Linked DNA regions of Lonchura striata. The protein of the gene in region 2 binds, or shares a complex with, the protein of the main gene of each other region. Links are inferred from orthologs where the notes say so. Each region holds a gene or a part of one and is shown on either strand. Other genes may lie near its edges. The genes, in order: HCRT and HCRTR2.

Region 1 (3,237 bases), on a different chromosome or scaffold from region 2:
CCGTCGAAGCGGGTGGCGATGGTGTCCAGGAAGGTGTTCTGCGGCGCCAGCAGCCCCTTCATCACCGGCATCGTCCCGCCCCACCGGCCGGCCGCCGCGGGGCTGCGGCGGCGGGGCTGCCTCCGCCGCCCCCGGCCCCTCCGCAGCACCGCGGGCTGATCCCGGCCCGCCCGGGGCTCCCGCCCCGCCCCCGCCCCGCCCCGGCACCGGGAGGGGCCTCGGCACCGTCGAGCACCGTCCCCCGCCCGCGGGTAGCGCGATCCGGCCGGGGGGGCTCCGGGCTGGTGGCGCCAGGACCCGCTCGGCGCTGGAGCCGCGGCACCGGGAGGCACCGGGAGGCACCGGGACCCGCTGGGCCACGGGAGCCGCTCGCCCCCGGCCCTCCCGGGCCCACGGGAGCTGCAGAAGGAGCGGGACGCGCCGCACCTCGGTTGGCCTCCGTGCTGGTGCTGCACCGGGCGGCTGGAACCGCGCACGCCGCAGCGAGCCCGGTGCCAGCCCCGCGGAGGAAGGCGGTTCCCCCGGCAGCTGCCCCGCACCGACCCCTCCCCAGAGACGCAACAGAGCCGGCTGACATCAGGCTACCATTTATTGTAAAAGGCCGCGGTGCCCGCGGTGCCCTGAGCAGGCTGGGCCAGGGCCAGGGCTGGGAGGAGGTATCTAAAAGTGCTATTTACACTGAGCTCCGGCTGTGTCCATCCTGCCAGGGATCCCCTCTCTGTCCTGCTGCCCCCATCCCGTTCAGTAAAAGCTCCTTGCAGCTCCCTGGGCCTGGCTCGTGCTCAGGTCCTTCCCTGAGTGTCCCTGGCACTCCCTGGGGCCGTCAGGGCCGCTGGCAGCACCTCGCGGTGCCGCTGTCGGCTGGGCGACCGTGCCCGCAGGGCAGCCCAGCGTGTCGGGGCAGGCGGTGCCAGGCTGCTGCCCCCGCTTGCCCATTGTGAGGATGCCCGCGGCGTGGTTGCCGGAGCCGTGGAGCAGGCGGTAGAGCCGGCTCTGGAAGGCCAGGGGGACGCTCTTCCTCTTGCCCAGTGTGAGGATGCCCGCGGCGTGGTTGCCCATGCCGTGCAGGAGGTCGTAGACACGGCAGGGGCAGGTCTTCTGCCGGCAGCAGTGGGGCAGGCTCTGCCGGGCGGCGGCCAGGGAGCAGAACAGGAGCAGGAGCAGGAGGCAGGCAGCTCGCCGGGGCTGCCGGAGCAACGGGCAGCGTCAGCGACAGGGCACAGAGGGGGCACTGCCCAGCCCCGGGACTGGCCCCTCTGCTGTGCTCACTGGTGTTTCAGCTCCCCCCTGCCCTGGTTGTTGCCGCAGGGGCCCAGCCCCACACCCGAGGTGCCCCTGGAGCCTCACCCTTTGCTGCCCTGGGGCACGGCCAGCACCCTCACCTGTGTCCCAGCCAGCAGCCAGATGTGGGTGTCCTCACCGCACCCTGCCCTGCTCCAGCACGCAGCAGCTGTGGCAGACACCCTCCTCTCGCTGTCCAGTGCCACGGGGCAGGCAGTGAAAGCACCTATGCTGCAGGCACTGCATGCCCAGCTCCCTCCCAGGCAGTTCCCTCATCAGCTGCTGGCTACAGTCAGAGAGTCCCGGGGATTTGCTGCACACTCAGAGCTTCCCAAGAAACCAGCCAGGCCCTCCCAACATTCTGCCCTCCCACCCATGGCTGTTCTCTTATCCCTAGGGGCTGCAGCACCCCAGCCCCACCTTGGTGTTGGGCACTTCCATCCTTCCTGGGGTCTTCAGGTGGCCGAGTGGCTCTGGGGCATGTCCCATCGGGCAGCTGACAGCACAGCACCCTGCACTGCCACTGCCACTTTATAGGGCCCAGCACAATAGTGCTGCCAAAAATACCGCTGGGGCAGCGGGAGCAACTGGTGTCTGGGAGACGTGGGAGCGGTAGCCCGGAGACCGTCCAGGCCTTTCCCCTCATTTGCAGCTCCCCATTGTGAGGGTACTCACTGGACAGGGTGCCTGGCACTAATGAGGCCATAATTGCCCACGGCCCCGCTGCTGGGCTGGCACAAAGGGGATGAAGGTCAGCGCTGGCCTGCTGCTCAAAGCCCCATTAGACTAATTAACCCCCGAACAAAGGGGTGCCAGCAGCTGTGCAGCTCCCTGACTGACGTGGGGAGCCGTCACCCTGCCAGGGAGGGACAGTGCCACCAGGATCCTGTACCCCGTGCTGCCCTCCATCCCCTTTGGCGACACCGTCCCATCCTGGTCCTGTGCCCAGAACAGAGGGAGCCACAGGGCACCAGGGAGGGTCTTGCACTCTTTGTAACACTCCAGAGCCCCAGACTGACCCCAGACCACCTCCAGCCTTTGCTTGTGCTGAGCTCCCTTGCCCTGGGGATGAACCCAAACATTTCCCTGATGCCAGAAAGTCACATCTGCTGTTCAGGGACACCCTGGCCCTACATCTGCTGTACCAGAGAGCCTCCCAGCCCCTCTGCATAGTGGTGACCCCAGGGATGCTATGGAGGAGCAGCTAAGATGCTTCCTTCCTGTCAAGTTTTTCCCAGGGCTGGTGAAGGCCAAACCTGCAGCCCTGGAGAGGGTGGGCAGGAGCCCAAACCTGGGGCTGCTTTTCCAAGTGGCATCTGCCACAGCAGGCTGGGGGTACGTGCACATGGGCACTGGGCTACCAGCATCCCCACTGGCCCCTCGGCAGAGTTCTGTCTCCAGCAGCAGAGGGAGGGGATGGATGAGTCCTCTGGGAGCTTGGAGAGGCAAGAGGGCGCAGGGACATCACTCCCCTACCTCTCCACTGAATTCTGGTGCAAGCCCCTCAACACAGCAGAGCACAGACACCCAACCTCATACACGTTCCCCAGGCAGGCTGGGGGCTCCCTGCTCCTGGCCCCTGTGGCCAGGGGTGCTCAGTCGGGGCCCCGAGCCCCAGACCGGGGTCAGCAGGACGCTGCGTCGCCTCCTCCGTCTGTCTCAGGGATTGGCTCCAGCGGGGCTTGCAGCCGAGAGGGCTCTGGCGAGGCTGATCCGTTCCTGCCAATGCCACAGGACTGTCCCGCGTTGTGGATCTGCCACAGGTTGTCCAGCGCCTCCGCCTTGGCATGCTTGAGGAGGTCAGCCTGGCCCTGAGAGGAGGGGATGTCGGGGGGGTGTTAGGGTGGAGGCAGGAGGGTGACAGAGCAGGGCAGGGCAGGTGTGTCTGCACAGCCCTTGCCCCTCACCTTGAGGACGGTGATGTTCCAGGCGAAGCTCTCCAGCGCCTTCTGCAGC
Region 2 (3,904 bases):
GCTTTCTTGAATAAAGATGAGACAGTATTCAGCTACCAAGCACCTGCAGACACCACAAACAATTCATCCATGAACAGAACCAACAATATGGAGCAAACAGCTTGAGGAGGATCACAGAATCATTTAGGTTGGAAAATACCTTTAAGCTAATTGAGTCCAGCTGTAAAGTTGAATGATCTATTGTACGATTTACTGTGATTTAGAGTGGATAGAAAGGTGTTCAGCTACTTCTCTTCCATTTTAAGACAGAGATTTGCTACCATGTACTACAACTTGGAGAGATTTCAGAGGACAAAAGGTGGACATTCCATCCAGTAAAAGATGGAATCCAGGTGGATGCGGAACCAGATGCCAGTTTCCACCCCAAGCAAAGAGTTAATGTACACAAATGCAAGGAAAGAACAGCTGCACATCCACAGTGGAATAATCCCTATTTGTGGGTGCACAGAGAGGAAAGTTTTTCTCCTCGTGGCTTCGGAGGAGAAAACTGTAAACAGGGCGAAAGCTCCTATAGCTGAAGATTTGACCTTGAATTCTTACAGGTGAGAGGACAGCTTGTCTACAGTATCGGTGGAGTATAATAGGCAAGCACAGGTGATTCACCTAAAATAGTCTTTGCTCAAAATCATGAAAAAGGACAGGTTTTATCCTAGTTTAAAATAAAGCTTCTTTGCTAGGGCTGTTATATATACACTGTCGATCAAGCTGGCTGCCGAGCAATGGACTGAGCAGACGTGCTCATAGGCACTTAGGGCAACGCTACAGAATTACTAAAAAAAAAAAAAAAAAAAAACCAAAAAAAAACCACCATGATCAATCCGCTGAAATTAAGAAAAAAAAAAAAAAACATTTAAAATATTGCCTTTGGCTGCAGTCTCGTTTGTATCTCAATTCGGGAAGCCTGTAGAGTTTGCAGTGACAGCCCTGCCATGCACAATTCCTTCTGAAAAACATGAATGAAAGACCCGTATGGCGGGGCGGGGCCCAGCGCGTTCCGTTCACGGCGGTGTCACAGATGGACACAGGGAATGCCAATGGCCGTGACCGCAGCCCAGGGGGTGCTGCTGGCGGAGCGGGCTCCCCGCGGCCCCACCGCGCCCGTCCATAACGCGGGACTGCTGCGGAGCAGCGCCGGCTCCGCTCCCCGGCCAGCCGCAGCCCGGCAGGGGCACGGCCGCCTTGGGCGGGGCACACGCGTGGCCGCCCTGCCCGGTGCCTGTTCCCCCGCCGTGGGCGGCAGCGGGCTCGGGGGAGCGGTGGGGAGGAGCGAAGAGGAGCGGCGGGGGGGCAGCGGGCGGGCTGCTGACGGCCAGACCCCTCTGGCCCGCTGCCCCAGCCCACCCGTGCCCTCCTCCCTTCACTATCCTCAGCTCTCCATCTCACTCCAGCGCCCCTACCGCTCCCTTCGAGGCGGCCGCCGCGCAGCTCCGCGCCCCCGCCGCCTCCTTCAAGGATGAATGGAAGCGGGAGGAGGCGGGCTCCAGGAGAGGCGCCGCCCCGCCTCGCTCCCTCAATGAGCGCCCGGGAGGGAACGCCTCGCCCCCGCCCCGCGTCCCCGCTCCGCTCCGGCCGCGGGGACGGAGCGCGGCCGCTGCGCCGCCGGAGAAGGCGCCGCGCGCTCCGCGCCCGCCGGCAGCTGAGGGGACCCCGCGGCTCCCCTCACGGGCCGGGCGCCGCGCAGGTTCCCCTCACGGGCCGGCGCCGCGCCGGTCCCCGTGCCCTGTCTCTGTCCTGGAGAATCACCCCGCGCTCGATGCCCCCGGCGCCCGGCCGGGGCTGCGCGGGAAGGGAGCAGCATCCTCCGGAGCGGGCTGAGAGGCGGAGCCGCCGCCGCGCCAGGAGGGTTCAGCACCGTGGCCCGGCGGACAGGGGCGGGAGCCGGCCGGCAGCCGCGGCCGGGCGCTCCGCCGCCCCGCTCCCCGTGCCCGGCCCTGGACGCCAGCGGCCGCCGCCGCAGCCCCTCGCCCGCCTAGCGGGAGCGGTTTTTATGGCCCTTTCCGCGCAGCCCGAACTTTCCCCTTCGGCTGGGGACTGCTGCCTTTCCAGCGGGGCGTGTCAAACCCACCCGGGTTTCCAGCCATCCTCCGTGTAAAACCCATCTCGGGAAGGGAGAACGGGAAGTTTTGGGGAGCTCGACTCACCCAAGATGTTCCCAACGAGAGCCACAATGAATACGACGATGTAGCCGGCGATCAGCGCCCATTCATATTCCTTGGGATGCAAATACTCCTTCCAGAGATATCGCAGGAACTCCTCATCATCGTAGTCGGAGGAAGGGGTTAAAAGAGCCTCCCGCGTTTCATTCAGTTCCGACCCACTCGTCCAATTCCTATACGGAGGGGAACCATCCTCTGTTTGAATCCCGGACATCCCTAGTGGGTGTTCAGGAGCCTGGGGAAAAAAACAACAACCAACAAACCCAAACCCAGACCCTCTCAGAGCATCCGAGCTTTCTCCCGCCCGTCCATCGAGGCTTGTGGTTGCCAGTGCGAAAAGCGGGGTGTGGGGAGAAAAATGACGCGGGAACTTACGGGAACCAATGCGGGAACAGGCTGGGGATCCGCGTCGGTCCCCAACCCGCCCTGACGAGCCTTTCCCCCGGCCGGGCAAGGGGTGCAGCCTCCGCGGGGGAGGCTTCACCCCCTGCACTGTCGTGGAAAAGGCTGGTCAGGGTAGGTTGCATGCCTCAGGTGCCGGAGTGCTCCCGCCCCGGCTGGAAAAGTCACGTCCGTTTCAGACGATGTCGGTTTTTCTTCCCCAAACCATGCACACGCACCCTCACACACCCCCGCATCTCTGCATGCCTCTCGCCTCGTCCTCCCCCTGCTTCAGCTCATCCTCAGCTCCTCATCTCTCCCCAGCCCTACTTCCAGCTTGCCCATCCCTCTCCTGACTGCTTCTCGGTTTCTCACTCTCTCTTGCAAAAGGCACTTCCCTTTAGACCTTTCTACATTAGATTCCAGATATAGTCAAGATATTTGTAAATTAAAGGCTTTGGAAGGCTGCAGAGGGAGGAAGCACAGGGTTAAAGGAGCCATTAAAAATAGTGGCTAATGAGGATGCCTATTTCTGTGCTGCTTTGAAAGTTACACTGAAACAGGAACACTGTGGGTTTCCCAACACTGGGAAAATCTCTAAGAGAGCTGAGCAGATAAACGAGAGGTTTCATTGGATTTGAAGATTGTGAGACCTCATTGTAGCTTGAGTTTAGCATGCACTGAGGATGTTTCAACATCCAGCTTGGGACCTTGATACGGCAACTACCCCTCAGCTATTCTGAAATGGGCTCAGCTGGCAGAAAGCAGTTCAAGAGAACCCAGAAGTGCTAGTTAAACAGCATGATAGGGCTACTGACTTCTTGTCATTCCTTCTTGAAATATTTTCATACTTTGCCAAGTATACAGTCTCTGAAGGAGCAGGGATGGGTCTGAACTTGTCCCTCCTTGACTGATAAAATTCCCTCTTATTCAGGCAACCTGTTCATTTCGTATCCAAATAATTTAATGAGTCTGATAAAAGCGCCATTTCTACTGGGACATGGCACAACTAGCTCAGTTAAGCATTTCAGTGCAGGGTCTGCACCTCCACAGAAACAGAGGAAGTGTTTTGGTGCCACTCTGTTTCCAACACAAGCATAATAGAGAGGCAGACATTCATTCATTAACACTGTGCATAGAGTGCTGTGCTCTAGACAGCACTTTAGGCTACCCAATTGTTTTTTATCAGTGTGCAGCCTTCTCAAAGTTCAGTGCAGCATACCTACACCTGGAATACCTCTTCCTATTTCTATAGACATACTTTCTTTGCTTTAGTTCCTTGTTAACCAAAGAAAAAATTTCTTTCCTATTCCACAGGGAACTTGAGTGAACCTTTTAGTCTAAAGATGTTACAGAGTGAAAGATAC

Evidence for each region.
Region 1: the proteins of HCRTR2 (region 2) and HCRT are in contact, whole or in part, in a cryo-EM structure (PDB 7L1U), measured with the Homo sapiens proteins. The link is inferred for Lonchura striata from reciprocal best matches to the Homo sapiens genes HCRTR2 and HCRT. Residues at the interface, in NP_001371201.1 of Homo sapiens: Thr111, Val114, Trp120, Pro131, Gln134, Thr135, Val138, Gln187, Val209, Cys210, Asp211, Phe227, Thr231, Ile320, Ser321, Asn324, Lys327, Arg328, Phe333, Ala334, Thr336, Arg339, Val342, Tyr343, Phe346, His350, Tyr354; in NP_001515.1 of Homo sapiens: Asn89, His90, Ala91, Ala92, Gly93, Ile94, Leu95, Thr96, Met97.

The regions. Positions count from the first base shown.
Region 1 is NC_134627.1:6,399,731-6,402,967, reverse strand, and holds HCRT (hypocretin neuropeptide precursor), read right to left. Parts: upstream 1,796-3,237; 5' UTR 1,771-1,795; coding exon 1,702-1,770; intron 1,186-1,701; coding exon 742-1,185; 3' UTR 572-741; downstream 1-571. Other genes in the region: voltage-gated delayed rectifier potassium channel KCNH4, read right to left, coding at 1-71; inactive phospholipase C-like protein 2, read right to left, coding at 2,907-3,092, 3,189-3,237. UniProt on the Homo sapiens protein: Neuropeptides that play a significant role in the regulation of food intake and sleep-wakefulness, possibly by coordinating the complex behavioral and physiologic responses of these complementary homeostatic functions.
Region 2 is NC_134605.1:90,002,550-90,006,453, forward strand, and holds the start of HCRTR2 (orexin receptor type 2), read right to left. Parts: upstream 2,486-3,904; 5' UTR 2,371-2,485; coding exon 2,142-2,370; intron 1-2,141. UniProt on the Homo sapiens protein: Nonselective, high-affinity receptor for both orexin-A and orexin-B neuropeptides. Triggers an increase in cytoplasmic Ca(2+) levels in response to orexin-A binding.